3 linked regions of the Canis lupus familiaris genome follow. The protein of the gene in region 3 interacts with the protein of the main gene of each other region in a pairwise test. Links are inferred from orthologs where the notes say so. Each region holds a gene or a part of one and is shown on either strand. Other genes may lie near its edges. The genes, in order: ARL2BP, PDE6D and ARL3.

What was found.
Region 1: the proteins of ARL3 (region 3) and ARL2BP interact in binary tests that used the Homo sapiens proteins (3 or more experiments, as listed by UniProt). The link is inferred for Canis lupus familiaris from reciprocal best matches to the Homo sapiens genes ARL3 and ARL2BP.
Region 2: the proteins of ARL3 (region 3) and PDE6D interact in binary tests that used the Homo sapiens proteins (3 or more experiments, as listed by UniProt). The link is inferred for Canis lupus familiaris from reciprocal best matches to the Homo sapiens genes ARL3 and PDE6D.

The regions. Positions count from the first base shown.
Region 1 is NC_049223.1:58,398,942-58,409,650, forward strand, and holds the start of ARL2BP (ADP-ribosylation factor-like protein 2-binding protein), read right to left. Parts: upstream 5,994-10,709; 5' UTR 5,878-5,993; coding exon 5,840-5,877; intron 5,466-5,839; exon of another isoform or gene 5,302-5,465; coding exon of another isoform or gene 5,270-5,301; intron 5,192-5,269; coding exon 5,130-5,191; intron 3,608-5,129; coding exon 3,501-3,607; intron 1,676-3,500; coding exon 1,590-1,675; intron 1,355-1,589; coding exon 1,258-1,354; intron 976-1,257; coding exon of another isoform or gene 925-975; exon of another isoform or gene 781-924; intron 758-780; coding exon 647-757; coding exon of another isoform or gene 634-646; 3' UTR 1-633. UniProt on the Homo sapiens protein: Together with ARL2, plays a role in the nuclear translocation, retention and transcriptional activity of STAT3. May play a role as an effector of ARL2.
Region 2 is NC_049246.1:43,813,658-43,824,555, forward strand, and holds the start of PDE6D (retinal rod rhodopsin-sensitive cGMP 3',5'-cyclic phosphodiesterase subunit delta), read right to left. Parts: upstream 5,927-10,898; 5' UTR 5,868-5,926; coding exon 5,818-5,867; intron 1-5,817. UniProt on the Homo sapiens protein: Promotes the release of prenylated target proteins from cellular membranes. Modulates the activity of prenylated or palmitoylated Ras family members by regulating their subcellular location.
Region 3 is NC_049249.1:15,361,403-15,371,649, forward strand, and holds part of ARL3 (ADP-ribosylation factor-like protein 3), read right to left. Parts: intron 4,841-10,247; coding exon 4,724-4,840; intron 1-4,723. UniProt on the Homo sapiens protein: Small GTP-binding protein which cycles between an inactive GDP-bound and an active GTP-bound form, and the rate of cycling is regulated by guanine nucleotide exchange factors (GEF) and GTPase-activating proteins (GAP).

The sequences.
Region 1 (10,709 bases), on a different chromosome or scaffold from region 3:
TAGCAGAAGACAGTGATGCAAGGACTGCGAAGTGAAAGACAAGAAACTGATTTTCACATGGAGCTTCAGGTACAGGACTGAATCCTCAGCTGATTCCTAGAGCCGAGGCTAGCTGGGATGTGGCAGGGAGCTCAGCCAGGCGGCTGGCTTGATTAACAGCCTAGGGAAATGTTCCCCAACAGGAAGAACCCCCTTTTGAGGCTGCAGGTCTGATGAAACGATGCATACAGAAGGCTGTGAGCACACAAGAGCCTGATGGACATGCAGAGCCTGCTGAGCCAAAGTGGGCCGGAGAGGATGGGTTCTTCCAAATGCTTCTGACCTACCAGCATGTATATCAGGGAAAGAGGCCCCGGTGTGATGCCCGCCTTGGGCTTGCTCCAGAAGGGCCTGACGCAGAGGCCTGAGGCAGGGGGTCTGCTCGGGGAGGAGTGGTAGGATTACCGAACACGAGAAGGTGCTTCAGGGTCTCTGTAGGGTCAGTGGATTGTCTTCTGACCCATCAATACTTAACATTAATGAGTTGTAAAACAGAGTCAGTCTTTCCAATGGGTATTGTCACATTAGCCAGAGCCTCTTCCAGTCTATTGGGCTGGCAACGTCCAGAAAGATCCCATTGCCTGGTGGTGGGACCTAGGGCCGCAGGTCATTCTGGGAAGCTGGCACAGAAGATGATTTGCACAATGAAGTCACCACTAAACCACTGCTTAAGTCCAGTCCCCGACCTTCTTTTTCCTGGGTTAGAAAAGAAATAATCCTAAGAGGCAAGGAATAGGGGAAAAATAAAAGTCCTTTTCTAGGTCAGAATTCTGCCTCTGGCATGGGGGAGGAGGTGCTCAGGCTGAGAGGGTGGCCACAGAGGAGCACACAGGAGGGGGAAGGAGGTTATTTTGCATTCTGGTTCAGCGCTGCCCCAGTCATTCTTTAAAAAGTGTCACCTCTTTTCACAGAAATAGATTTTTTCCTATGAAGAGCCTGCATTAGAAGAGAGGCAAGGTAATTAGACCTGCTTTTCAGTTTTGTCCTTTTGATTATTTATGGTCTGTAAGAGGTACCTGGGACTTGTTACAACAAAACACGACAATATAGTCCCTCAGTAAGGGTGCTGGGTCCTGCTTGGAGGACAGTAGCTTGCTCTTCTGACACCTGGTTAGCTGCCAGACTGATAGCCAGCCAGTGGTGGGGAGAAACCAAGTTTCTACTTGACATTTCCTTAGTGCTTTGATGTGGCTAACAAAGTGAGCAAGAGTGACTTACTGCTCTGTAGTCCAGAAACATTTCTTTAAAAGCCAGGAAATCTGTAAACGTGAGCAGCATGTCAAATATGTCGCCTGCCACTTCATCTTTATGGTGCCTGTGGAGGAAAAGGATGGCCTTTTCACAACAGGCTAAAACAGACTCTGTCTCTTCAAGATCCCACTAGAGGGTTGTGAGGGCCTCCCACCCAGGACCCAACCACTGAGTGCTGCCACCGTTCATGTTCATGCACTGGAGCAAAAATAAAAAAAATTAAAAAGAGGGCCTTTTTTTCAGAGTGAAGGAGGAGGAAGGTGAAAAAAGATACAAGTGCAGAGTTAAGCGCAACTCACTGTAAAGTTGTTGTGAAAGCCGCCATGTTAAACCCAGGAATCCGCTCCAGCAGCTGTTCTTCAATATACTTTTCTACCAAAGAAATCTGCAACAGTGGAAGGGATCGTGGTTTTAGGAAAACAAGGCTGCTTTTCAGAGAAGTCTGGGCTCTAGGCCTTTGCAAACACTTCCTAAGAGCCTATTCTATGTGCCAGGCTCCATGGTGAGCGCTGGGGAAACTAAAGAACCCAAATAGGGCGCTTGTCCTCACTGAGCACGTGCCCTGGCTCACATGGGGAAGGGGAAGGTGCTGAGATAGGTGGAGGCAGCGGACACCAGGGCTCCCAACTCCCCGTGGTAGGAAGTGAGTAATGAAGTAAATGGAGCCTTTTTCCTTGGGCAGATGGAATCTATTAAAAAAGAACGGACAGGGGTGCCTGAGTGGCTCAGTGGCTGAGCGTCTGCCTTTGGCTCAGGTCGTGATCCTCGGTTTTTGGGTTCCTGGGATGGAGTTCCGCATCAGGCTCCCTGTGGGGAGCCTGCTTCTCCCTCTGCCTGTGTCTCTGCCTCTCTCATGAATAAATAAAAAGGGATCCCTGGGTGGCGCAGCGGTTTGGCGCCTGCCTTTGGCCCAGGGCGCGATCCTGGAGGCCCGGGATCGAATCCCACGTCGGGCTCCCGGTGCATGGAGCCTGCTTCTCCCTCTGCCTGTGTCTCTGCCTCTCTCTCTCTCTCTCTGTGACTATCATGAATAAATAAATAAAATCTTTAAAAAAAAAAAAAAAAGATCTTTAAAAAAAAAGGGGGGGGGGGGGCAAAGAGGCATACTGCTGGAGGTAATCACAGGTTCTATATATGTTGAGGCTTGGCTGGAGGAAACCATCCAGGATGTCATGCTTCTAAGGCTAAGAAAATCCCGGAGACTCAACCTTTGCTCAGACAGAGGATATCGTACCAAGAGGGTAACTCCAGGCCTCAGCAAGGGTCCAGAGTTGAGACTCCTGGGTTCTGGTCGTGGTCTCCCCACCAACTGATTAATGATCTTGGTCTTGGTTTTCACTTCCACCTAACAGTCATGCCATGTCTGACTGGATGTGTTGTAGCAAAAAACACAGTTGATGCTTAATAGAGAGGGTCTGAACTGTGTGTCTCCACACAGACATGGGTTTTTTGTCTTTGTTTTATAAATATAATACAGTACTTTAACTGTAATTTCTCTTTATGATTTTAGTAACATTTTCTTTTCTCCAGTTTCCTTTAATACAGTATAGAATACCTATACAAAATACGTGTTTATCAACAATTTGTTATTGGTAAGGCTTCCAGTCAACAGGCTACAAGTAGTTATGTTTTTGAGAAGTCAGAAAGTTATATGGGGATTTTTGACCACAGGGGCATCGGCACCCCAAGTCCCCATAGTGTTTAAGGGTCAGCTGTAGTGTGTGTCCCAAGTCCAAAGGTCAAAAGCATATCAATGCAAGGTACAGTGAACCCATATGTTCTAACTGAAGACAGGAGTATGATCAAGCCAAACTTCTTTTTTAAAGTAAGTTGGATGGGGCAGCCCTGGTGGCGCAGCGGTTTAGCGCCACCTGCAGCCCAGGGCGTGATCCTGGAGACCCGGAGTCCTGTGTCGGGCTCCCTGCATGGAGCCTGCTTCTCCCTGTGCCTGTGTCTCTGCCTCTCTCCCCGTGTCTCTCATAAGTAAATAAATAAAATCTAAAAAAACAAAAAAAACAAAAAACAAGTTGGATGAAAGCCACCAAATGCTGCGGAGGAAAAGCAACAGATGAGAACTAAACCGGATTCTAAACAATTCCTGACAGGTGGCAGCTTCTCAAAGTCCAGCATATGTCAACATCTTTTGGTTTTCAACTCACATTTTAAAGAACTCCTACTAATCTCAGGGGGAGGGAAACAAAACCACTTACATATTCATTAAAAATAGGCGTGTAGGTGAGTTTATTCTCTTCTGTGTCTTCAAACTCCTGATAGTACTTGTCCATGAAATTCCTCTGTAGTAACTGGAACTCGTCATCTGAACCACAGTAAGAAAATGTTACGCTTTTTATTGGAAACTAAAAACCATTCTGATTTATAAACAGGCAGGAATTCTCTGCCAGCACAAGTGCTTTCTCAATGGCCAGGATCTAGGAGAGGGAAAGCTAAAGATGCTTTAAGGAAGTGTTCAATAGGATACCAGTGTTCAAAAAGCCCGATCCAGTCTTTTTATTAATAATAAGTATTAGTATTTTTAAAAATGTGGTAACATATACCTCACAAAAAATTCACCATTTTAACTATTTTTGAGTGTGGTTTGGTGGCATTAAGTACATCCCCATTGTTATGCAACCATGACCACCATTCTTTGGTCCATTTTAAAGACACCCAATTCAGGGTGGCTTGGGAGCTCCTTCACATGCCTTTTCCACAAAGGAATGGGTTCTCTTATAATATGATTTCAGCAGCTGTAACAGTGCAGTGATTAAGCACATGGGCTCTGATCCTAGCTCAGCCACTTGAATTGTGTGACCTTGGCACACTTCCTAGTATCTCTAAGCCCCAGTTTTGTCGACTAGAAAATGAGGATGATCAAAGTACCTATCATAAAGGATTGCCAAGTGGAATTCAGATAAGGACTAGCATAGAGATTAGTTTATAGCAAACACTTGAATGTGAGAGAACAGGGAACGTTAGCAAGTGAAGAGAATATTACTTCTGAAAGTAAAAGGAAAGCTTCACAAATGACCCAGACTTTAGGATAAATACCCTGAGCTTAAAAAAGGGTCCTTTTCCCATGGCACAGGGTGCCCAAAAGGGCAAAAGAACTCAGAAGTATTCCTTGGGATTCTCCCAGAAACCGTCAGAGTCACAGAGGACAAGGGCTTACTGGTGAAATATTTAAAGTGTGAACCTTTTTGGGACCTGAAAATATAAAAGCTTGGGTCAGTCATTTTCAGACTAAACTAGACTGAGAAACACTGCTAGGACCACTAAACTAACGCAGTCCTTTTTTGCCTAATTTGAAGAAAACTCTGAATTTTCTCAAAGTTTTTCTCCCCCACGTATTTGTCTTAAACCTTGGGTGCCTGTCACTGCTTATTAGCAGGCCTGTGTGCACCCAAGTTAATGCACAAAGCAAGCCTCAGAACCCAGGAAAATACAGAACCAGAACCAGCTGAACTATGGCGCTTTATTTTCTTCATGGACATGTGTGCTATGACTATGGTATTGGGCTGTGGTTTATGTGATGAAAACGTTAAAGCTCAAAACTGAAAAATGGAATTCCTCTTACTCTGAAATAAGGTAGGCTGTGCCAAGAGCTTCCTAACGTCTAGGGCCCCATCCCCTCCGTAAATCCCTTCTAGGACCTAAATCCATGGTTACTGTTGAAGCAGTGGGGGATGTTTGCCTCAAAAATCACAGCAAGGCTCCATATTACTCTGTGCTACGTTGAAACTGATTCGCAGCTTGCTGTTTTCTCTCAAAATGAACTCCAAACTGCAAGGGGGTAAGAACTACAGAGGGCACAGGTTAGACCGCGGCTCAAGGAAGCTTACCCATGATGATGTCCTCTAAATATCCAACCACAGCGTCGAATTCTGCATCAGAGGCAGAAGAGCTGAAAAATATATACCGCCATTAGGTGCTGTTTCAAAGAATCCGCTTAAAAAATATATCAAGGACATTTTAAACATGCCTAAAAAAGAAACCGCAAAACGAACTTCCCATCACCCAGCTTCAACCACTAAGAATGATGATCGTCTAAGGGAGCGATTCCAAACAGGGCGATACGTTTGACACGTTGGTGACATCGAAGCTCAATGAATGTCTCCACTTTCGGAAAACCTGTCCTGACACGAGGAACTACGACAGGGGCAGGTAAAGGGAGCGACGGCCCGCCCGCCCCCCGGGTGTCGCCATCAGCGCACACCGAGCGGCCTGCGAGCGCGGGCCCGGCGCCAGCGACACACTGGCGGAGGGCGACAGGCCCGGGAGTCCCCGAGGTGGTGGCGGGTCCTCCGCCCCGTGCTCGGCCTCGGCAGCTCAAGGCCGCCGGGCTCTGCTGACGACGGAGGGTCGGAGCTTCACCACCGTCGCTCTCTCCCCTCCCCCCCCCCCCCCGCGGCCTCCAGGCCTCAGCAGGGAGGCCGCTGCAGCCGCGCGGTCGGCGGCGGCCCCTCACCCCGCTCCCGGCCCTCCCGGACACCCCCACTGCACGGGGCGGAGGCCCGGGCGAGCGCCGGCAGCGCCGGGCGGCGTCACTCACAACGACAGCGCGAAGCTCTCTTCCTCTAGGGCGTCCATCGCCGCCGCCGCCGCCGCCGCATCCACCCGCGGGGCGAGCGCGCCCGTCGGCCTTACCCCGCCCGCGGCCCGGGCCCAGCCTCCGCTCTGCTCCGTAGAGCCCCAGCCCGCATCCGGGAGGCCTCGCCGCCGACGCCGCGGCCGCTCACGGCCCGGGCCTCAGGCCTCAGGCTCCCCGGCGGCGGCCACGAGCCGCCCGGGCCCCCGCGCCCGGCCAGGCCTCTCGGCGCCCGCCGCACTCGCCGCGGGGTCCGGGCGTCAGTTACCCACAGCCCGGCGCCGCGCCCCGCCTCCCGTCACCATGGCCACCACAACCGCTTCCGCCGCCTCGCGCTTCCCGAGAGCCAATCACAGGCGCGCGCTGCCCGACGCCGGGGGCGGGGCAAAGTGGGGAGCGGAAGTGAGGAAACGGAGAGAGGCGCGGGGGGCAGGCCTTGAGCCTCAGCGGCCGCCTGTTCCCGGAGCGTCCTCTGGGTTGGTGGCGGTTAACTCTCGCGTCGTCCCCTCTTAACGAGGAAGGAATGGAAGCTGAGGACCGCAGTTTCGCTTGCAACTTGGGGATAAATTACAGGATTTAAGAAGATTAAATAGGGGGCGCCTGGGAGGCTCAGTGGCCTAGGGTGGGACTCTGGATTTCCGCCCAGGCCGTGTTCCCGGGATGGAGACCCAGGCCTGCGTGCGCTCCGCGCTCAGCGTGGCGTCCGCCGGAGATTCTCTCTCCATCTCCCGCCGCCCTAACGCCGGCCCCCCGTGCTTGCTCGCTCTCTAAATCTTTTAAAAAGATTAAAGTGGGTTGTAAGAGCACTGTAAACTGCAGATTTCTTGAGTGCCAATCCCTTAGCTTTTGAATCTAATAATGCAGACCTCTTACAAGACAGTTGCAACCTTTTGTGGAATTTACATCATAAAGATAATATTCATATCATAAACATTATTCGGCAAGCAGTTATTAGTTTCTTGGCTAATTAGGCGCAATAAAAGTTGACAATCACTGAACCAATGTAATCAGAAATGGGATAATTGTGTTCCAGGAAAACTCCCCTCCCAAACTCAAATTTTGCAAAAGGATTCCCGAGAGCTGATTTCTCTTTGTTTATTAAAGATTTTATTCACGAGAGACGCAGAAGCATAGACAGGTAGAGGGAGAAGCAGGCTCTCTGAGGGGAGCCTGAGGCAGGACTCGACCCCGGACCCCAGGATCACGACCTGAGCCAAAGGCAAACCCTCGGCCCCTGAGCCACCCAGGTGCCTGGAGCTGATTTCTCAGGATTGGACCATGAGGCCTTATGTGTCTTTGGTTGTGTTATACCCTTGGGCCAAATGTGTGGTACGTGTCTGCAGTGAAGGTTTGATCTGAGGGTCAAGATGGCCAGCCTGAGTGAATTGACATTTTGAATGGACATGAAATAGATCTCAGTGAGGGGTACCTGGGTGGCTCAATGGGTTTGGTATCCCACTGTGGTTTTGGCTCAGATGGTGATCTCCAGGCCATGGGATTGAGCCCTCCCCCACCAAACAAGAGTCTACTTGTCCCTCTCTCTCCCCTTCTGCCCCTCCCTCGCTCACTCATGCTTGCTGTCTCACTCTCTCAAATAACATTTATTTTTTAAAGATTTAATTTATTCATTCATGAGAGACACATAGAGAGAGGCAGAGACACAGGCAGAGGGAGGAGCAGGCTCCATGCAGGGAGCCCGACGTGGGACTTGATCCCGGGTCTCCAGGATCACGCCCGCTGAGCCACCAGGACTGCCCTCTCAAATAACATTTTAAAAAATAGTTAACAGTGGAATCTGGGGGCAGCCCGGGTGGCTCAGCGGTTTAGTGCCGCCTTCAGCCCAGGGCGTGATCCTGGAGACCCGGGATCAAGTCCCACTTCGGGCTCCCTGCATGGAGCCTGCTCCTCCCTCTTGCTCTTTCTTGCTCCTGTCTCTTGCTCTGTGTCTCTCATGAATAAATAAAATCTTAAAAAACAAACAGTGGGATCTGGAACTAAAAATGGTTACCAAGAGAGTTGTATCCAGAGTGAATGAGATCAGATCTCAGAGCTATTATATTTAGCACCAAATAGAAGACAGGTATCTATAAAGGTTTGCTGATTAACTAGACTGAGTTATATTTAAGGCAAGTGATGGTTTTGCAGCTCAAAGCAAACTCAGCATTTCCTCATGACCTATTTTCTCTATAAACCACTTATTTCTTCTGGACTAAATGAACGTGCTCACCATTTTTCTACTTCTGAATCATATGCAATCAGAGTGGAGTAGGAAATGATTTCAGCTGTTCTGGATATCTATTGCTATTACAAACTACCCAAAAATTTAGTGACAACACAACAATTATTGTGCTTAGCAATCTGCAATTTGGGCAGGACTTGGTAGTGACAGTCTCTGTTCTACTTGGCATCAGTTGGGGCAGCTGGAATGGGGCTAGAGGAGCCTCTTCCAGCATGCTCACTCACATGTCTGGCAAATCATTGTTGGCTCTTGCCTGGGAGCTCAGCTGTGGATGTTGGTCAGAGGACTACTGGTTGGCAGGGAGTGGGGGGGGGGGGTGTCTTCAGTTTCTCTCCATTTAAGTCTTCCCAGAGATGGTTGAGTTTTCTCACACCATGGTGGCTGGGTCCAAAAACAAATATTTCAAGAGACAGGAATTGGAAATTGCCAGCCACTTAGGGACTGGAAACTGGCACAGTGTCACTTCCACTGACTTCTATTAGTCAAATAGACATGAAGTCCATCCAGATTTTAGGAGAGGGGGCTTAAACTTCATCTGTAGATGGGAAAGATGTCAAAGAATTTGTGGCTAATTCCACTTTACCATTTCTGAGTTTTGTCTTGTTTTAAGATTTTATTTATTTGAGAGACAGAGCACAAACGGGGGAAGGGCTGAGGCAGAGGGAGAGGGACAAGCAGACTCTTTGCTGAGCAGGGAGCCCAACATGGGGCTGGATCCCAGGATCCTGAGACCATGACCTTAGCCAAAATCAGCCGCTTAACCGATGGAGCCACCCAGGTGCCCTACCATGTCTGGCTTGAAGAACAAATGGGCACAAAGATAATAATAGGTACCCATTTACTCAGGCATGTGCCAGTTACTGTGCTAAGCATATATTTATATACATGGTCTCTTTTTGAAATACTTGAAACTCTATGAGAAAAAAAAGAAACAACTCCTAAAGTTATTATCTTATAGATTAAGAAACAAAGGCTTAGAAGTACTTGCAAATGGGTGATAAGTGGCATCATTGAGCTGGAACTGGGTCCAGGCTTACTCCCAAGGTATGTTTAACTGTCATGCTATATATGGCTCCAATCCCTGAGCTGTCAAACAATACTCCTAGAAATCAGAACATGTTTTTCTGCTAAAACAGAATGGTGGCCTTTAAAGAAAAAATTTAAGACTCACTTGAATATATTATGTTTTACATTAATAATTTCTTTTTTTTAAAAGATTTTATTTATCTATTCATGAGAGACATAGAGGCAGAGACAGACAGAGGGACAAGCAGGCCTCTCACAGGGAGCCCAATGTGGGACTCAATCTCTGGACCCAGGATCATGCCCTGAGCCGAAGGCAGACGCTCAACCACTGAGCCATCCAAGCGTCCCAATAGTCATTTCTTAAATCCTTTGTGGGTAAGCATTAAAAAAAATTTTAAGGGATGCCTGGGTGGCTCAGTGGTTGAGTGGCTGCCTTTGGCTCAGGGCCTGAACCTGGATTCCCAGGATTGGGTTCCACGTTGGGCTCCTTGCCTGGAGCTTGCTTCTCCTTCCTCTGTGTCTCTACCTCTCTTTCTGTGTCTCTCATGAATAAATAAAATCTTAAAAAAAAAAAACAATTTAAGACTTATTTTGGGGGGTAGAGAATCGAGCAGACTCCCAGGTGAGGGAGTAGCCAGGTAGGGGGCTTGATCCCACAACCAATGAGATTATGATCTGGCCTGGGTGGTTCAGTTGGTGAACTACCCAACTCTTGATTTTGGCTCAGGTCATGATCTCAGGGTCCTGAGATGGAGCACCCCTGTCAAGCTCCACGCTCAGTGCAGAGTTTGCTTGTCCCTTTCCCTCTGCTCCTCTCCCTCTTCGTACTCTTGACACTATTTCTCTCTCAAATAAAATATTAAAAACAATTGTTTTAAGTGAATGAATAAAAAATGGACTATCTGGGCAGCCTGGGTGGCTCAGCAGTTTAGCGCCGCCTTCAGCCCAGGGTCTGATCCCGGAATCCCAGGATCGAGTCCCACGTCAGGCTCCCTGCATGGAGCCTGCTTCTCCCTCTGCCTGTGTCTCTGCCTCTCTCTGTCATGAATAAATAAATAAAATCTTAAAAAAAAAAAAAGACTATCTTGGAAAGAGCTGAACAGTTTCCTGGATTCAAGATATCTGAAATTCATGCAAAAGTCATTTTCTGCAAATGAAATTTTGATTTGATTGAATCCTTGTTTTCTGGTGTGCAAAAGGCACCATAACTTTACCTTGCTTTATCAGTATCATTCCAAAAAGATAGCAATTCATTAAAATTTTTTTTTTGGCTGGAACCCTGGGAGCATTTCTCCAATAAATCACTGAGAGGGCAGCCTGGGTGGCTCAGTGGTTTAGCGCTGCCTTCAGCCCAGGTAATGATCCTGGAGACCCAGGATTGAGTTCCATGCCCGGCTCCCTGCATGGAGCCTGCTTCTCCCTCTGCCTGTCTCTGCCTCTCTCTCTGTGTCTCTCATGAATAAATAAAATCTTTAAAAATCACTGAAGAAATGCCAGCATTTAATTTTTTCTCTGTGGTATCAGTAAAAGCCTAGCTTTCAATTTCTCTTAAAATGCTTACATGCAGTG
Region 2 (10,898 bases), on a different chromosome or scaffold from region 3:
CTGCTCTATGCTCTGCTGCAGTTATACATAAACTTTCTCCATAAAACCTATTCACACACAGCAAGTGAAGTGTCCCTTTCCCCCAAACAGCTGCCAATACTGAATGTTATCAATCGATTTTTATTGATTATTTATAGTAGGCTCAAGCCTCATTTGGAGCTGGAATTCACAACCTCAAATCAAGAGTCACATGTTCTACTGACTTAGCCAACCAGGGACCCCTATTATCAACCTTTAAAATTTTTGTCAATTAATTGGGAAAAAAAAGAGTCTATTAAGGTTGAATATCTCTTTTTTTTTTTTTTTTTTTTTTTTTTTTTTTTTTATTTTTTTTTTTAAGGTTGAATATCTCTTAAGTTTATTCATTGGCTATTTGTAGTTTTCTTCTGTGAACTCTTTGTTCATATCCTTTGTCCATTTTGAGTCAAACGTTTATTTTATGGATTTGTAGGCAGTCATTTATTTTTATTTTTATTTATTTATTTATTTTAAATTTTTATTTATTTATGATAGTCACAGAAAGAGAGAGAGAGAGAGAGAGAGAGAGAGGCAGAGACATAGGCAGAGGGAGAAGCAGGCTTCATGCACTGAGAGCCCGACGTGGGATTCGATCCCGGGTCTCCAAGATCGTGCCCTGGGCCAAAGGCAGGTGCCAAACCGCTGCGCCACCCAGGGATCCCTATTTTTATTTTTAAAAGGTTTTACTTATTTATTTGAGAGAGAGAGAGAGAGAGAGAGAGAGAGGCAGGGCAGGCAGAATCTTAAGCAGACATGGAGCTTTATCTCATGACTCTGAGATCAAGACCTGAGCCAAAATCAAGAGTTGATGCTTAACTGACTAAGTCATCCAGGCGCTCCTTAAAGATTTTAAGAAATCTCTACACTCAACATGGGGCTCGAACTCACAACCCTGAGATTAAGAGCCACATGTTCTACCAACTGAGCCAGTCAGGGGCCCCTGTAGGCAGTCATTTATTTTCTAGATATTATATTAACTTCTGCAGTATAAGTAAATAGGGGCAATTAGCTAATCATCAGAGAAAAAGTTAAATCACTACTTCATACCTTAGACTCAAGCAAATCCCAGATGGAGTAAAATAATAAAATTATAAAAGCATAGTTTTTCTTATGGTAGCCTGCAGTTTCTTGATATTAATAAAGCTGTATATAGCTATAAATATGTATATATTAAAACTATTCTCACAGTTGAAAATCAATGTCTAATTTTTTACTTCTCCAAAACTTATTTACTAATAACCCATTGATGACTAGACTTACTAATATAAAGTCAATTAACCTGTATTTTATATATGTATTATGTACCATATTCTTTTTTTTTTTTTAAAGATTTTACCTATTTATTCATGAGAGAGAGAGAGAGAGAGAGAGAGACGCAGAGACACAGGCAGAGGGAGAAGCAGGCCCCATGCAAGGAGCCCGATGTGGGACTCCATCCCGGGTCTCCAAGATCACACCCTGGGCTGAAGGCTGTGCTAAACTGCTGAGCCACCCGGGCTGCCCTATGTACCAGATTCTTACAATAAAATAAGTTGGAAGAAAAATGTTATTAAGAAAATCATGAGAGAAAACATATTTACAATACTGTAAAACCATACTCTATACTGTAGTTACTGAAAAAATTCTTGTCAGTGGACCTGTATGTAAACCAGTTTTGTTCAAGCGTCAACTATATTTGTGGTGAGGAAGAGCAGTTTGAATAGGCAAAACAGTGCATTATACAGACTACACTAGAACACTGTGTAAGAGGACTGTGACAAATCTATGTCATGGAAAGCAATGAAAAGTAATTATCTTTGGAAATTATGAATATGGTAAACTTATTATTAAGTGAAAAAATAAGTTAAGAAATAATGCTTATGATTTAATTTTTATAAAAGCAAATACATTAGCTACACTGGAAGACTACATTAAAAAAAATCAAAAAGGTGGGACGCCTGGGTGGCTCAGTGGTTAAGCATTTGCCTTCAGCTCAGTGCGTGATCTCGGAGTTTCGGGATTGAGTCCCACATCGGGCTCCCTGCATGGAGCCTGCTTCTCCCTCTGCCTGTGTCTCTGCCTCTCTCTCTGTGTCTCTCATGAATAAATAAGACTTTTTAAAGGTCATTTCTGGGTGGCTAGAGTATGTAACAGAAAAAATAAATACCATTTTATTTTATTTTTAAAAAGATTTTATGTATTTATTAGAGATGGGGAGAGAGATGGGCGGGGGGGGGGGTGGGGCGCACAGACACAGGCAGAGGGGGAAGCAGGCCCCATGCAAGGAGCCTGATGTGGGACTGGATCTCCAGTCTCCAGGATCACGCCTTGGGCTGAAGGCAGCGCTAAACAGTTAAGCCACCAGGGCTGCCCCAAATACCATTTTAAAACAGCACAAGAAGTTAGATTTCTACCACATATCATTTGTGTAAAAACATTTCAGGTGGAAATGAAAACATAGAATATTTAATTTTAGGATAAGGAAGGTCTAGTTTTATTTAGTTATAACAATTCATTTAATCTGTATTGCAAACCTATGTAGTAGATACTATGATTTTTATCCATTTGAATATTAAAGAAATGGATGGAAAGGGAGTTGAGTGACTTGCCCAAGGTCAGGAAGGTCTTCTTAAGACACAAAATACAGGAGTACCTGGGTGGCTCAGTTGCTTTAGCATCGGGGACTCTTGATTTTGGCTAAGGTCATGATCTCAAGGTGGTACTGAGCTCCATCTTGTGCTTTGCATCAGCCAGTCTGCTTGAGATTCTCTCCCTCTCCCTCTCTCTCTCTGCCCCTCCACCTGATTCCATGTGTGTGTGGAGAATGTGCATGCCCATGTGCCCTCTCTCTCTCAAAAAAAGAAATAAATCTTTAAGACACAAAATGCAGAAGCCATATGGAAAATGCTGATGAATTTGAAATGATAATTTAAAATTTGTTCAACAGGGTGGCCTGGGTGACTCAGTCAGTTAAGCATCTGTCTTCAGAGTCCTGGGATGAAGTCCCTCTCCCTCTGGCCTTCCCTCATGCTCATGCTCTCTCTCAATATAACATCCTTAAAAATAAATAAATAAATAAATAAATAAATAAATAAATAAATAAATAAAATTTGTTCAACTAAAAAGGAGATGAACAATATATTGATGGAAAATATTTGCAACATACAGAACAGGCAAATGATATTAAGGCACACACACAAACCAGTAAGTAAAAAATTCAATAGTAAAATGGGCAAAAAACAAAATCAACAAGTGATTCACAGAAAAGGAACTGCCAAACAGAAGATTTTGCAACTTCTCTAACAATAATAAGAGCTAATATATAATGTTTACTAGGCATCAGGTGCTTTTCTAAATGCTTCAGCTATCAACTCATTCAATCTTCGTAACAACCCTATGAGATAAGTACTATTTTTAACCCCATTTACAGATGAGGAAATTGAGGCTGAGGTTAAATGAGTTGCTCAGGGACAACCAAGAGTGTAGGGCTGGGATTCCAACACAGAACAGCTCTACAGTCCAGAATTCTTCTTAACCACTATGCTCTATTACCTGTCCAGGGATCTAGATATCCAGGGAAATACAAATTAAAATAAGGTATCACTTGTCTAAATTGGCAAAAATATAAAAGACAGAGTCAATGTGGAACTGAGCACTGTCAACATCGCTGGTAGGAGACTCTAATGGTGCTTTCTTTTGGTAGAAAAAAACTCTTACAGAAACAGATTCAATGAAAGTTCAGAAAAACAATTCACCCAATAAAAAAGGTGGACAATAAGCAGTTTGTTTTACTAAAAGATTGTGTTTTCCTGAAGGTAGTAGCAAATTCTAGAACTCCTTTCCTTTCTCTCTTAATCCTCAGATGTCAATAAAGGCTACCAGAGGATGAGCATCCTCTTGCTCCCATGCTAACTTTTTTATGCGGCTGCTTCCCTTGAGATTTAATCAGCTCAGGTCAAACCTTCTCTGAAAGCCTGTTTCTTAATACACTAACGTCATCATTGAACTGGTTAATTCACCTGATGATGATTTCTACTCTTTTCCACATGTGTCCCTTAACCTCTTTCTCAACAGCTTCAAGAGCCCAGACTGAGGTAAGAAGTTTCTTTGTTTGAAAACCATTAAAAAGATTCTTTCTTGTTTTCAGCAGTATGTTAATTCCAATTGGACCAAAAACGTTGCTTCTGAAATCTCTCAATTCCCCAGTCTCTGATTTTACTATCTACAGTATACATGTAACTAACAATACAAATTACTTAGGGGAAAAATAAAATCCATGTCACAGCTTTTCTAAGACTTCAGCCATCCCTATTTACTTATAGGTGCCATTATGAAAAAAGACACCGAAAGGTACACGAAGCTATAAAAAGAGGCTTTTACTAAACTTTACCACGAATGACCTTATGCCTAGTGTATAATGCCTTCCGTTTTTTTTCAAAAGAAGCATAGCAGATCAGCTTCCATTTGAAACTTTTCATTTGTATATCTAAAATGTCCTGTAACTTTTTTGTTGTTGTTGTTGTTGTTGCATTTTGGGTTCTAAAATTTACTACCAACTTGCTTTCTGACTGTGAAAAGCAATTAAAATTTCCAGCGGTGAAATGGGCATCGTGAAAACACAAAGGCAGCTCAGAGAACAGTGCTTCACTAAATCTCCTTTGGGGGGGTGGGGGGAGACCTAAAGTGATGACTACAACTTCACGGAGAGAAGAATTTGAGAACGTTCCATTTTGTACGCACGGGATGTAAAAAGAGATTTAAGCTCAGCAGGAAAATGTGAAATTGGAATGTCCAGGTTTGCCTATTTTTCATCCGCATCCTATGGTCACAGACAGACACTCCATTTAAACACGAGGCTTCCTAATACGTTAAAGAGAGAAAGAAGGTTGCACAAGCGGCACCACAACAGGCCAGGCCTGGGGCAATGATTTCTAGATCCTGCTAAATCCTACCGTGTCCCCAAAGTAATCAAATAATTGCTGGACAGCTCCACCTGGTCTCCGCGTGAACCTCACAAACGCAAGCGCGCAGATACCTTTGCCAGGAGTCCCGGTGCAAAACCAAAACACCTCAAGGCATCTCACGCTCGAGTGCAGGGTCCTCACTTCGCTGGACAGAAAAGTGAAAGGCTGAGAGAGAAGCTGCCACCATCCAGTGCCTCACAAGGCCAAGAGAGTGTTAAGATGAGGTGGATCCCGGGCTTCTCTTGGCCCACCTTCCTCTCTGCTCCAGCCCTGGAAGGAGCCACAAGTGAGGCAGAGAAGTTGTGGAAACAAGGAGGGGGTGGCGTAGAGGGGGGGACGGGGGAACCCGGGAGAGTTCAGCACAAGCATTTGCATTTGTCCCACCCAAGGTCACTCGCTCCGAGTCACTTTTCCCTGCTCCCCCGGGGCCTTCCCGCCAAACGGGCTGCAGGGCTGCGAGGCCAGCCCCCCGCGCCCCTCGGCCCTCCCTGCGGGCCGCAGCCCCCCTTCTGGCCTCCGGGCGCGGGCCGAGGCTCGGACCCAAGCCGGCCTCACCGCCACGCGTTTCCGACGCCCGCCGCGTCTCCCAGCCCAATTCGGACAGGGGCTCCTCCACTCCAGCCCCCGGCTCCCGGCAACGTCTCCTTCCTCCCTCAGGACGCCCCCTGCCCCGCCTCCAGTACCCGGTCCCGCCGGGGGGACCGGGACGCCGTTCCCTCGGTCCCCTCCGTCCCCTCCCGCCGCGCTCCCGTCCCGAGCCCAGCAGGCGCGGCCCCCGCCCCCGGCCCGTCTCCTCCGCCAGCGGCCGCCCCCCAAGTCCTCCCGGCCCCGCCCCGCCCCACTCCCGGGCGGATACAGTTTGAAGCCCTTCAGGATCTCCCTGGCCCTCTCGTCCTTGGCTGACATGATGCGGCGGCCGCCGCCCGCGGCTCTCCCACGCTGGCCCGGCGGAGCCTCGCAGACGGTGCCCAGGAACCGAGGACGGAGCCGCAGCGCGGCCTGGAGACCTCCAGCGAGCAGCGGCAGCGGCCAGACCCGGACCGGCCTCTCCCTCCCCTCAGCTCCCGCTCCTGATCCCTTCTCCTTCCCCCTAGCCTCGGAGCGCCCGCCCCAAAGCCAATGGAAAGCCCTCCTCGCCGATTGGCATCCCGAGCAGCCAATAGAAACATTCAGCGGCTTCGCCGGGGGACGACGAGCGTCAGTGGGAAGGGCCCTCCCCGGGAAGTCCCGTAGGACAAATTTTTCTTTAGGTCTTGTTGCCTAGAGTTTGCCCCAGCGGAGGGTTGGCTTCAGATCTGCAGAGGCTCGAGGGGCCCGCTCCCTCCGCGGGGCACACTAGGGCGCTGAAATGACGGCGGGTTGCCCTGTGCGATGTGAGAGAGACTACATTTCCCAGCATTCCGGGGGAGTGCCCGGGGGAACCACAGATCCCATCACGCAACAAAGAGGCCCGGGGACTACAAATCCCAGCATTCCCTGCACCCTGTTCCTCTGTAACTTAGACTCCAGTGTGCCGCGCAGTGTGCGCAAATTCGTAAACCTTCCCTCAGCCTTGGGGGTTTCTGAATTCGGAGACTTGAAACTGGGCGGGAAGACCCCCTTAACTCTCAGAAGAGGATGACAGCCCACAGGGAGGTAACATCTGTTTACATGGAACTCAGAAATCTCCTGCAAATCATGGTAAGGCTGCAAACAACAAACAAAAACACTTGATTAAACCACGGAAGATAAAATGACTCCTTTAAATCGTGCTTGTTTGTTGGTCTGGGGCGCCTTTTACTTGTTTTGCAGGGGTTTCTGGTGTGCTCCTGCGTTGGGCTGGGAGAGATATGGATCGTATACTCAGACTCTCCCTACCGGAAGGGATATTAAGAGAATTTGCCAAACCACCCTCTGTTGTTTTACATACGAGGAAACTGAGGCCCCAGAGAGGCGAAGCGATCGTCCACTGGTTACAGCAACTTGGGACAGAGTTAGAATTCGGCTCTAAGTCTCCTGACCCTCAGTTTGGGCTGTTTACACCACACTGAGGTGGCGATATTTTTAGCAGCATGGCTGTGTGATTATTATTTTCCTTAGTGAAGTATCCTCATCCAGGTTGAAACACCCAGAGGTTAGGTAAGCATTCATTTTGGTGGATTTCCTGTAAGTGAAGGAGTGTGATGTTTGTTTATCTTCAGTCTAGGAAGGACTTAGTGTTTTGATTTGTTATTTGTTGCTCAAGGTGACATTTAATGTGATTTCAGGAACTAGGTAAAATTGTAGCGTAAGCTAAGGTTTCCTTGGACATCTCCTATCTCTTTTCCGAGGCCTTCCTTCCTCTTCCCGTCCCCCTTTCACCCATCTGGGCACCCACCCAATTTTTCCTTCCATGTAATTCAACAAAGAGCCTTTTCAGGTTTCCGGTAAAGGGTGAAAAGGCATTGTCACTGCCTCCAGGAAGATAACCATCTAGTTAGGAAAAAAAGGAGACTCTGCTGAGATTCAAGATGAACTGCAATAAATGTCATAAAGGAAAGGTCATCAGAATGCTACAGAGGTTCTGATGGAAAGATCAGATCCAGCTGGCAAAACTTGATGGAGGAGGTGGCATTTGAATTTGAACGATGGGTGGATTTTTTTTTTTCCTGTTAAAAAAACTTTATCTTAAAATTTTTTTGTTCATGAGGTATGACATGCAGGAAGGGCACAGTTTTGACATTTGTATACATCTGTGTCACCACCCCCCAAATCAAAATATAGAACATTTCTGGCACCCCTGTGCCCCTTCCCAATCAGCACTGCATCCTCCCATCCCGATAACTATTCTGACTTCTATTACCATAAATCAGTTTTGTTGTGAATTTCATTTAAATGTAATCATACAGTATGTACAGTAGGAGCCTGGCTTTTTTTCTTCATCAGTTGTGTGTTTTTTTTTTTTTTTTTTTTGTGAGATTCATCCATGTTGTATGTAGCAGCTTTTTTTTTTTTTAATTACTGACTAGTATTCTATTGTGTGTATCTAGCAATATTTATCTGTTCTATTGATGGGTATTTATGTTATCAGTTAACAGTTTTTGGCTTTTGTTAAAGCTGCAATGCGCATTCTTATAGGTTTCTTTTTGTAGACTGCACTTATTTCTAGGAGAGGAATGGCTGGCTTGTACAGTATGCATATGATCAGCAACAGTATGTCAGTTTTCCAAAGTGTTTGTATCATTTTCCCTTTCACCTGCAACGTAAGAAAATTCTAGTTGACTCTTATCCTTGTCAAAACAGGTTCTTTGGGCAGCCCGGGTGGCTCAGTGGTTTAGCACCGCCTTCAGCCCAGGGCATGATCCTGGAGACCTAGGATTGAGTCCCAGTCAGGCTTCCTGCATGAAGCCTGCTTCTCCCTCTGCCTGTCTCTGCCTCTCTTTCTCTCTGTCTCTCATGAATAAATAAATAAAATCTTAAAAAAAAAACCAACCAGGGTCTTAGAGGTCTTTCTAACTTTAGCTCTTTTGGCTATAAATGTGGTATCTTATTACAGTCTTTTCTTGCATTGTCTCTGATGTTGAGCACTTTTCATATGATTTTTAATTATTTCAGTGTTTTCTTTTGTAAAGTGCTTGTTCAAGTCTTTTCCCTACTTTTTAAATTGGGCTTTTTGTCTACTTATTCATACTGATTTGTAGTTCTTTATGAAGTTTGGATATGGAGTTCTTTGATACAGGCTTCAGGAATATCTTTTCCAGCTCTGTGGCTTGCCTCTTCAGTCTCGCATTGGTGTCATTTGATAATCAGAAATTCTAAATTATAATGTAGTGTAGTAGCTCAGTGTTTTCTTTTATGATTAGTGCTTTTGTGCATTGAGTTTAAGAAATCTCTGCCTACAGGGTTGGTAGGATTTTAACAGGCAAAAATAGGAGGGAAGAGCATTGCAAAAAAGGATGGAGAGCAAGCTTGAGCATAGGCCCTGGTGTCAGAGAGGGAAGGTGGAGGTTGTGTTGGGCATAGGAAGGCCTAGGGTTTTGGCTGTAAGAGGGTGGGACGAGCCAAAGCTGGAAAGGTTGGAGGGAAGCATACTGAGAAGGGATTTCTCTGCAGCCCTGGAGTCTGGACATTATTCTGGAAGAAGTGGAAGTACTGCTAGAATATTTATGAACTCAAACAGAACTTAATTATCTTCCTATTACCGCAAATTTGCTTTTTTTCCTCTGCAGCCCCATTTACTTAGAAACATCACCTCTGAGTGAATAGCCAGAGTCTTGGGTGATACCCTTCTTCCCTATCCCTGCATTCAGCTGGTCAGCACATCGGACACATTCCATAGTCTAAATGCCTCCCACCACGTCCCTTCTGTTTCATGCCCAACTGCCACTGTCTTTGTTCAGGATCTCACAATCTCTTTTCTGTACTATATCAATCACCTCAAGAGTTTCCCTGCTTCCAGCTCTCTCCATATCCAATCCATTCTTATAGCAGCTAGTGTGAGCATTCTAAAGTGGCAATTATTCACACTTCTCCACAGGTTAAAAGCCCTAAGTTCTGCCACCCCCCAGCACCCTCAAGATAAAATAATAACTCCTTTACATGGCTTATACTTTTTGTGATTTGCTTGCTCATTCTTCCATGTTCAACTCAAGCCTCGTCTCCAGAACCCTGCTTTAAATCACCTTTCTCCAGAGCACAGGCAGGAGAAGAGCCTTAATCTGTAGTTCTAGGGTGCCTATGGCAACTGGCTGTTATAGCCAGACAGGTTTGTCTCTCTCCAGGGCTGTGGGCTAATCCCAGGTAGGGACTCTGCAGTATTAAGATATTTACTGCGTATAGTGCCGTGCGTGTGGTTTATAGCACCCTTGATGACCTGACTCCAGGTCTGTAGCCCTCATTTCTCAAACCTGAGCCTTGTATTCCAGACACTCTGGGTTTCTTTTCTGCATTAGTATATGCTACACAGGGCAAGCCTCTGTGACTATGGTCAGCCACCTTTTCTTCCCTTTTTGCCTGGAAGATGCCTGTTTTCTTTTCCCCAACATACTCTCTTCTATGCTTCTAAAGTATTGTCATATCTTTCTCATAGCACTTAACATATTGAAGCTTTTCTCTTCTTCTTCTTCTTCTTCTTCTTCTTCTTCTTCTTCTTCTTCTTCTTCTTCTTCTTCTTCTTCTTCTTCTTCTTCTTTTTTTTAAAGTAAGCTTCTTGCGCAACATGGGGTTTGAACTCAGGACTGGTGATTGAGAGTTGCATGCTCTACCAACTGACCCAGCCAGGCGCCCCCACACTGAAGCTTTTTGAGGGCAAGAACCTTGTCTTCTCTTTATATAATCTACCAGAACATAGAAATTAGAACAAGACATTTTTGCATAAATCAGTGGGTTGGTGCTAGGCTCCTTTGCATCTGTCTGATTTCTGCACTCTAATTCACCAAAGGCAAATAGGGCTATTTTCCTTGTCTTTAAGACCGGAAAGTCTGTGATGTATACTTTAAAGGAACCAGCTTAAGTGTTCAGCTGTGTAGCATTTCTTAGCCATCTTCCAGGAAAGTTGCTAAGTACTAGATGCAACCTCACATATGTCATTTTGCTCACAGAGCCATTGTTGGCTCAGCCCATCTCTTGCTTATTTTATTTTTTATTTTTTTAAAAGATTTTATTTATTTATTTATTCATGACACACACACACACACACACACACACACACACACACACACAGGCAGAGACACAGGCAGAGGGAGAAGCAGGTTCCATGCAGGGAGCCTGACATGAGACTGGATCCCGGGTCTCCAGGATCAGGCCCTAAACTGCTGAGCCACCCGGGCTGCTCATCTTGCTTATTTTATTTTATTTTATTTTATTTTATTTTATTTTATTTTATTTTATTTATTATTTTATTATTTTAATTATTTTTATTTTTTCCATCTTATTTTAAAACGTTTTTCTGAACAGAGATCATGAATATGGTCTTTAGCT
Region 3 (10,247 bases):
TTATTATCTTGCATTAGTGTGATGCATTTCTCACAATTCGTGAACCAGTATTGAACCAATACATTAGGTTCATTCTTTGTATTTTAAAGTTCTATGGTTTTGACTGACCCATATTAACATGTATCCACCTTATAGTTTCATACAGAATAGTTCTGTCACTCTAAAAATCCTCTATATGTCACTTATTCATCTATCCCTCTACTCTCCCCTGGGAGTTCTGGCAACCACTAATTTTTTACTTGTAGAGATTTTTACTAAGTTCTATAGTTTGCCTTTTTCAAAATGTCATATAGTTGGAAACAGAGAGTACGTATCCTTTTTCAGACTGACTTTCACTTAGCCATACACATTTAAGTCTCCTCCATGTCTTTTTGGGGCTGAATAGCTCATTTAAAAATTTTTGTTCATTTCTTATTAGCAAGAAATAATATTATATAGATGTACACAATTTGTTTATTCATTCATCTACTGCAAGACAACTCAGTTGCTTCCAATTTTTGGTATTATGAATAAAGCTGCTATAAATAATCATGTACAGAATTTTGTGTGGACGTAAGTTGTCATCTAATTGGGTAGACTCCTCGAAGAGTGATTGCTGGATCACATAGTTTGGTAAGATTATACTTGGCTTTGTAAGAAAATGCAAACTGTCTTCCAAAGTGGTTGTACCATTTTGCGTTCCCGCTGGCAATGAATAGGAGTTCCTGTTGTTTTTCCTCTTTGTCAGCATTTTGGATTTTAACCATTCTGGTAGGTACGTAGTGGAATTTCATTTCATTAATTTTCTGTTTCCTAAGATGTTACGCACTTTTCATATACTTATCTCTGTATCTTCACTGGTGAGGTGTCTTTTGCCCATTTTTAATTGGGTTGTTTGTTTTCTTATTGTTGAGCTGTGTGTGTGTGTGTGTGTGTGTGTGTTTTAGAGGGTGGGGAGGGCAGAGAAGGAGACAGAGAGAATCTTAAGCAAGTTCTATGCCCAATGGAACCCAACAAGGGACTTGATCTCATAACCCTGAAATCATGACCTGAGCCAAAATCAAGAGTCGGACACTTAACCAACTGAGCCACCCAGGTGCCCCTCTTTGTATATTTTAGATATGAGTACTTTATCTGATGTGTTTTTGCAAATATCTTCCCCAGTCTGTGGGTTTATTTTCTTAACAGTGTCTTTCTCAGAGCAGAAGTTTTAAATTCTAATGAACTGTATCTTATAAATTTTTGTTCATTTCACTTGGCCCTTTTCTAAGCACTGGGGATACAACACTTGGGGCAGGGCAGGGGAAGCAAAGTCCCTATCTTTGTGGACACTACATTCCAATGGGGAGAAGCGTAATAAATAAAAATATATTTTTTTAATGAATTTTTTAAAGATTTTATTTATTTATTCATGAGAGACACAGAGAGAAAGAGAGAAGCAGAGACACAGGGAGAGGGAGAAGCAGGCTCCATGCAGGGAGCCCGATGTGGGACTCAATCCCGGGTCTCCAGGATCACACCCTGGGCCGAAGGAGGCGCTAAACCGCTGAGCCACCCAGGCTGCCCATAAAAATATTTCTGATGGTGATGGGTACCAACAGGTCTGATCAAAGAAAAAAAAAAAAAAAAAAAAGCAGAGAAAAATTACAGTGCCAGAAAGGTAGGGATAGGAGCCACAATTTTAAATATAGCAATCAGAGAAGGTCTCAGTGGCATAAAGTGACACGTGAGCAGAGACTGAAGAAGGTAGAGAATAAGCCGTGAGGATAGCTAAGGATATCTAAGAATCTTAACACTGCAAATAGTAATGACCAAGGCCCTGAGGTGGGAATATGGCTGTGTTGTAGGGACAGAAAGCAGGCCAGTACGGCTGGCACCAAGTTAGAAGGGGGAAGACAAGACAGATAAGCCAAGCCAGAAGGCAGGGGGCCTTGTAAGCTATTGTAAGAACTCTAGCTTTATTCTGAGATGGGACAGGATCCCTATGGATATACCTTTGAGAAGAGATTTTCGGGAGGAAAGGCAAAAGCAAGGAGACTAGTGGGGATGACATGGCAATAATCAATGCACAGTAGCAGTGGGCTAGAAAGTAGTGGTCAGATTCTAAAAATATTCTGAAGGTAGAACTCACAAGATTGGCATAGGTCAGAGGTGGGGAGTGAGAAGGAAAGGAGCCAAGGATGACTCCAATGCTTTTAGATGAATGGAGCTGTTGTTTACTGAGGAGACTGTAGAAGCAGCAGGTTTTGGGAGGGATGAAGATAGGAATTTGGTTCTGGACATACTGAGGATGAAGGGACTTACTAGCCACTAAAGTAGAGATGTAAAATAGGTAGTTGGCTATATATAAAACTGAGGTTCAGGGGAGAGTTTCTGGTTGAATATAATAGGTTGGGATTCACCAGCATGTAGGTAGTAATTAACGCCTTGAAATTGGATGAGGTCACCTACGCTACAACTTAGAGAAGCAAAGAACAGGCCTGAACTCTGGAGCACTCCAACACTTGGAGGGTAACAAGGGGGGAAAATAGCAATGGAGATTGAGGAAGAGTGGCCAGTGAGATACGAGGAAAATCCAAGACAGAATGGTATTCTGGAAAATGGGAAGATAATGTTTCAATGACAGTATGACTGACTTTTATTTTATTTTTTTATTTTTATTTTTTTTTAAGATTTTATTTATTTATTCATGAGAGACACAGAAAGAGAGAGAGGCAGAGACACAGGCCAAGGGAGAAGCAGGCTCCATGCAGGGAGCCTGACGTGGGACTCGATCCTTGGACTCCAGGGTCACGCCCTGGGCCAAAGGGAGGCACTCAACCGCTGAGCCACCAAGGCATCCCTATGACTGACTTTAAAAAAATATATTTTATTTATTTATTCATGAGAGACAAAGAGAGAGGCAGAGACACAGGCGGAGGGAGAAGGCTCCATGCAGGGAGCCTGATGTGGGACTGGATCCCGGGACTCCAGGGTCACGCCCAGGGCCAAAGGCAGGTGCTCAACCACTGATCCACCCAGGGACCCCATGACTGACTTTATTAACTGTGCAGCTAGGTCAAGTAAGAGGAAGATGGAAAACCTTAGCAATGGGGAATTCCTGGGGAGCCTGAATGGAGGGTTCAAGAGAGAATGGGAGGAGGAAGTGAGGAGAGAGCTCAGAAAACTCTTTTTGTTTTAAAGAGAAACTGAGGAATAGGACAGTATCTGGATGGGATACACAGCCAGGACAAGAGTTTTTTTTTGTTTGTTTCTAAAAAAGAGTTGCCACAGGCTGTGTGCATGCCGACAGAATGATCTAGTTGAAAGACACATAGGAAGCAAAAGCAGAGAGCAAAGTTATTTGAGAGATGCAAGATGGTGTCTAGTGGTAATGGAAGTCACCAACATGGCTGACCTTATGGCAGTTCCTTCTCTATGGATAGAATTGTAGTAAATGCAGAGTTTCCATTAGGGTTTAATGAAAATAGCATACAGGTTTTTTTTACTATCCAAGTTCATGAGACCCCCTGGTTTTAGGCTATGATCATGACAGTGAGTAACTAAGGTAAGGGGAATGACAAAATCACTGGAGTGAAGGTGAATGAACTGAGAGGCTGTGGTGTTGGAGAAATCAAGTATGTGGATAGTGAAATCTTCAAGAATTCTGAAACAGCAGTACTACAGAATGTCACAGAATGTGACAGTGAGCTGAGAGTTAAGATCTTAGTCCCTTCCTGAACAAATGCAGCCTGAGCCAGGGAATCCCCAATGAACAAGACAGCTGCTTCTACTTTTTTTTTTTTTTTTAAAGATTTTATTTATTTATTCATAGAGACACATACACACACACAGAGGCAGACACAGGCAGAGGGAGAAGCAGGCTCCATGCAGGGAACCCAATATGGGACTCGATCCCAGGTCTCCAGAATCACACCCCGGGCTGCAGGCAGCGCTAAACCGCTGCACCACTGGGGCTGCCCTGCTTCTACTTTTGGACAGTTAAAACGATAGGAGACTTCTTCCTTACTCTGAGCTAAACTCTACCACTTAATATTCCCCAAATCGCTCCTCACCCAGTCTTCTAGAACTCTTCATGATGAGGCAGAGAACTCTCTTGCTCAAGATGGCTCTTGAAGCAACTGAAAATAGTTCCAAGTTTCTTTTCTAGGAAAAATATCTGGGGATATTCTCAGTTGGTTAAGTAGCTGCCTTTGGTTCGGGCCATGATCCCATGGATCCTGGATCAAGTCCCATGTTAGGCTCCTTGCTCGGTAGGGAGTCTGCTTCTCCTTCTCCCTCTGCCCCTCACTCTGCTTGTGTGCTCTCTCTCAAATAAATACAAAAATCTTTTAAAAAAAAGGGGGAAGAACATCTATTGTTCAGCCATTTCATATGCATCATTATTTCCAGGACTTCCACCCTCTTGATTGGCTCTTTGGGATACTCTTGTTGATTTCCTTGGGATAATGGAGTTAGTGGCACTATCTTCTGATTTCCCTTCTGATATTCAGATCACTATGTTAAATTAATAAATACTTTATTTTGCCAAGGTGAGTGTGGGCACAACATTGTCACTGAGCAAAAGCAAAATTCTTATACAAACCATACAAAAATGTTTCTCATAATCTGCAGCCTTCTGCTAGCCCTAAATTCATAGTGACTTATAGTAGTGGAATTACTGACAAGAAAGAACATTACAGTTAATATTTCCTAACACAATGCAGAACATATTATGAATTAGTGCATTAGAAGGAGTACTTACGAGAATATCAGTATTTTCAAAATAATTTCTCCAGTATGGTCTGATTTTTCTCTGTCCACCAATGTCCCATACATTCAGTTTAAAACCTTGAGATTGTACACTTTTGATGTTAAAACCCTGAAAGAGAGGCAAAACATGAAGCTTTATTAAGCTTTAGATCATAGTTCTGACAGTTATATTTAACAGCTGTGTTATTTATTAATTATGAGGTACTCTGCCAGATGTGATACTGGTAATATTGAAAATTGTCTGCTATGATACGGAAGAAAGAAATGGGTTTTTATAGGCTTACTTCAGGTTTGGAGTCACTGTTAATATTAACATGACAATTTCTCTAGTAAGTGTACACACATGCACGTGTGCACGCACACACACACACACAAAACTGCTGAGGACAACTTGGAATGAGTTCTAATAATCAAGATGATAACATTTAATAGAACATTACATTTAACTAACAAAAAAACAGAAGCTGAATCTGCAGATTCAACAGAACAGAACAAATCCTGAGTTTAAAAAGAGGCAAGAGCTACTGGAAGATAGGATTCTTTAAGAAATTTCTTCATATGGATCAACTCAGGAAAAAGGAGCTGAAGTTAGGACACTATGGGAGAAGCTGGTTTATAAATGGACTATTAGCCCAATGAGGAAGGGATGGCCTGCTAGAACAGCATGTTCAAACTCTGAAGTGGGGCCCTCAGTTTTTTATTTTTTTATTTTTTTTATTTTTATTTTTTTTGGGGGGCCCTCAGTTATAAGCAGTGATGAAAATAAACAAGAAGGCATTGGAAACTGTTCTTTCGTAAGCATCTCTGATGAACTTGAAAGTATTCATTTCTCAGGACAGTGACTCAAGGTGGAACTCTGGGAAAGGTGCACAAATCAGGGGCAGGTGGAGCTGGGAGTTGGTGTGCAGAGAAACAAATTAACAAGACCTCTGGGGTTTGGAGAAAAGGCATTTCGTGAGCAATAATTAAAAAAGAAATATTTTTCTGAGAATGATATAGTGAAATCAAGACTTGAAAAATCCAATCAATAGATTGCTACCACAAAAGTGACGTTTCATCCAGGATAGCTGGAGGGAAGTGGGCCTGGGGATGTCTCCATAAATATGTGCCTCACCTGGCAGCTTGCCAACACTACTGCCTAGTGCAGAAGGACAAGGCACAATGTGACAGTACAGAGCACTGCCACCCAATTTCCACTGAGGATAAATGGGCACTAGGGAATACCTGGGGATGATGCTGACTATAGCTCCTGTAAGATGTCACAACTGAATAAATTAGAAGTTTAAGAACTCCAAAGGGAAGTGGCTTAAGTTTATTGTAAACGGCAGCTTCATTCTGACTCACTGACAAAACCACTTTTGTGCGCTTAAGAATTGTACACTTAACTACAACATTAAATGTCAAAGCCAGTAATGTCAAATCTTTATGGAGTGAAGCAGAAGATAAATAAGAGTAGCTCCTAGAATTTGACTATATGTATCAACTGCCTTAAAATTCTAAAAGTCATCAAAAGAAAAGAAATCTATTAAGACCAACAAATATAAGAAATTATTCTAAGGAAATAATAATGGGTGCAAACATTTAGAAATGTAAATATGTATTTACATATATAACAGTAGAAAGATGTTCAAGATGTATTATTCAGTGAAAATGATGATATGATATATTCTTTGAGTCATTTTAATTTAATTAATTAATTAATTAATTTTTTAGTCATTTTTATTTTAAATATATGCATCATAAGGGTGCCTGGCTGGCTTAGTTGCAGCAGAGCATGCAACTCTTGATCTCAGGGTTATAAGTATGAGCCCCATGTTGGGTGTAGAGATTAATTAAAAATAAAATCTTTAAGGGACGCCTAGGTGGCTCAGTTGGTTAGGCATCCAAATCTTGGTTTTGGCTCAGGTCATCATCTCAGGATCATGAGATTCAGTTCCACGTCAGGCTCTGTGCTCAGTGCAGAGTCTGCTTGAGATTCTTTCCCCTCCCTCTCCCTCAGCCTCCACTCATATTCTCTTTCTCTAAAATAAATAAAATCTTAAATAAATGGAATCTTTAAATAAACCCATCACGTACATACATAGAAAAAAATGGATACATTCTTAAATGTTAACAGTGGTAAAAAAAATTTTTAACAGTGGTTATGTCTGGGCACTATAGGTGATTTCTAGTTTTGCAATTTTACAAATGTTTTACAAATTTACTATAATGAGCACCTATTACTTTTTCTTTTTTTTTAATTTATTTTTTATTGGTGTTCAATTTACCAACATACAGAATAACCCCCAGTGCCCGTCACCCATTCACTCTCACCCCCCCGCCCTCCTCCCCTTCTACCACCCCTAGTTCGTTTCCCAGAGTTAGCAGTCTTTACGTTGTGTCTCCCTTTCTGATATTTCCCACACATTTCTTCTCCCTTCCCTTATATTCCCTTTCACTATTATTTATATTCCCCAAATGAATGAGAACATATAATGTTTGTCCTTCTCCGACTGACTTACTTCACTCAGCTACTTTTTCTAATATAAAACAAAAATGCAAAGCTTGGTTGTTTTTTTTTTTTTTAATTTTTAAAAGATTTTATTTTATTTATTTATTTTATTTTTAAATTTTTATTTATTTATTTATTTATATTTTTTTAAATGTTTTTTTTAATTTTTATTTATTTATGATAGTCACAGAGAGAGAGAGAGAGAGAGAGAGAGAGAGTGGCAGAGACATAGGCAGAGGGAGAAGCAGGCTCCATGCACCGGGAGCCCGATGTGGGATTCGATCCTGGGTCTCCAGGATCGCGCCCTGGGCCAAAGGCAGGCGCCAAACCGCTGCGCCACCCAGGGATCCCGAATTTTTATTTATTTATGATAGTCACACACAGAGAGAGAGAGGCAGAGACATAGGCAGAGGGTAAAGCAGGCTCCATGCACTGGGAGCCCGACGTGGGATTTGATCCCAGGTCTCCAGGATCGCGCCCTGGGCCAAAGGCAGGCGCCAAACTGCTGTGCCACCCAGGGATCCCTAAAAGATTTTATTTTAAAATAATCTCTACACCCAATGTGGGGGTCAAACTTAACAACCCTGAGATCAAGAGTCACATGTTCTTCTGATTAAGTCAGCCAGGCACCCTGAAAGCTTGTTTTTTTTTTTTAAAGATTTTATTTATTTATTTATTCATGAGAGACACACAGAGAGAGAGAGACACACAGGCAGAGGGAGAAGCAGGCTCCATGCAGGGAGCCTGACACGGGACTCGATCCCGGGTCTCCAGGATCACACCCTGGGCTGAAGGCGGTGCTGAGCCACCTGGGCTGCCCTGAAAGCTTGTTTTTAAAGAGTAAGTATGGGGGTACCTGGGTGGCTCAGTGAATTAAGCACATAACTCTTGATCCCAGCTCAGGTCTTGATCTCAGGGCTGTGAGTTTAAGCCCCACGTTGAGCTCCACACCCAGTTACTTAAAAATAACCAAAAAAGGGGGGCACCTGGGTGGCTCAGTTGGTTAAGCTTTGGACTTTTGATTTTGGCTCGGGTCATGATCTCAGGGTCATGAGATCCAGCCTCCTATTTGACTCTGCACTTAGTTGGGAGTCTGAGATTCTCTCACTCTGCCCACCCCCCCACCCCGGTTCATGTACATGCATGTTTTCTCTCTCTTTCAAATAAAGAAATTTTATTTTATTTTATTTTATTTATTTTTTAAATATTTTATTTATTTATTCATGAGAGACAGAGAGAAAGAGGCAGAGACAGGCAGAGGGAGAAGCAGGCTCCAGGCAGGGAGCCCAACGCGGGACTCAATCCCAGGTCTCCAGGATCACGCTCTGAGCTGAAGGCAGGCGCCAAACCGCTAAACCACCCAGGGATTCCCACAAATAAAGAAATTTAAAATAAAATAAACATGAAACCTTCACATCATATAATGACAAAGTCACCTATAATACATCAAATAACGCCTGAAAGTTAGAATTGGAACTTTGAACCCATAACTTAAGAGTTCATTTCCATGTTCACAGTGCTGGCCGTTCTCATTTTAGTGATACTCTTAAGAGATACAGCCTACTGCTAATACTCAATTAAAAAGAAAAAAAATCCTAGACTTTTCTTTTTCTGGCAGAAATCCTGACACAGTAATATGTGTTTTTAGCCCTTCTAGGCTAGACTACTGTAATTTGCTCCTCCTTAGGCTATACATTAAATTTGTTCAGAAGCTGTAAAATTGCTCATTTGGTAGCAATTGAAATGACTTTTCTGCAAAAAGTTGCAGATCAGTAAGACTCCCAAGCTGTGAAGTACACACACCAGCACAGCCATTCAAACCTGACACCAAACTCGTATCACAGTACAGTGATGGAAAATGCTAAAAAAAACCCTCTGGTTTTGCTAAAACCTCTAATGCTCAAATACTTTAAAGTGACTAAGACCAAAAAGGCTGTCCTCTAGTTAGGAAACCCAATGAGTTGGGCAAAGGTCAAGCTTTCTCAGGATTTCCTACAGGGAAGGAGGTCTAAAGAAAGAGGTCTAAAGGAGGAGGGTTGTTCCACTTAGGATCTGTCTTTCAACTTCCACACTGGCAGCACCACCGTTGCCTTATCCTTTGTATTTTTTTTGCTTAGCCTTAGGAAAGAGGCTGGATTAAAAAATATAGGTTATTTTTTAATGAAAAAAAGATATATATTTATTAAATCTGAAAAATACACCCTAAAATATTAACAGTAGTTTTTCTCACGGTATTGGGTTTTTTTCTTTTATACTTTCTGTATTTTCTACACATATTAATTTCATGGTGAGAAGATTAAGTTATTTTTTAGAAGTAATCACTTAGAGCTGAGGGAATTGACTGTCTTGATATATACATATGCTTATTTAAATTCTTTATTTAAAAATTGGTAAAATAGATATAATATCTACCATTTTGACCAGTGTAGAAGTGTAGAATTTAAGTGTAGAATTCAGTAGTACTAAGTGCATTCACACTGTTGTGCCACCATTACCACCAGCCATCCACAGAACCTTTTTCAACTTACAACACTGACCCTCTGCACCCATTAAACAATGACCCTTCCAATCTCCCCTGTCTCCAACACCTGGTAACCACAATTCTATTTTCTGTCTGAATGAATCTGACTACTCTAAGAACCTTATATCTATGGAATCTCTTGACATATTTTTGAAATCTTTTATTATTTTTAAATTGTATAACTTTTCTCATTAACACTTTTTTTAAAAAAAGATTTTATTTGAGAGAGAGAGAGAGAGAGAGAGAGAGCGCGAGCATACAAGCAGGGCAGAGGGGCAGAGGGAGAGGGAGAAACAGGCTCCCCATGAGCAGGGAGCCCGCCGTGGGACTCGATCCCAGGATCCCGGGATCACGACCTGAGTCAGAGGCAGACACTCAACCAATGGAGCCACCCAGGTGCCCCTCATAACACAACTTGAGAGTGTACAAAACCATATTTCCCATTTTGTCTTCCATATGGCTATGATCACTTCCCATAAGTCACACAAGCACCTGGGGCCAGGG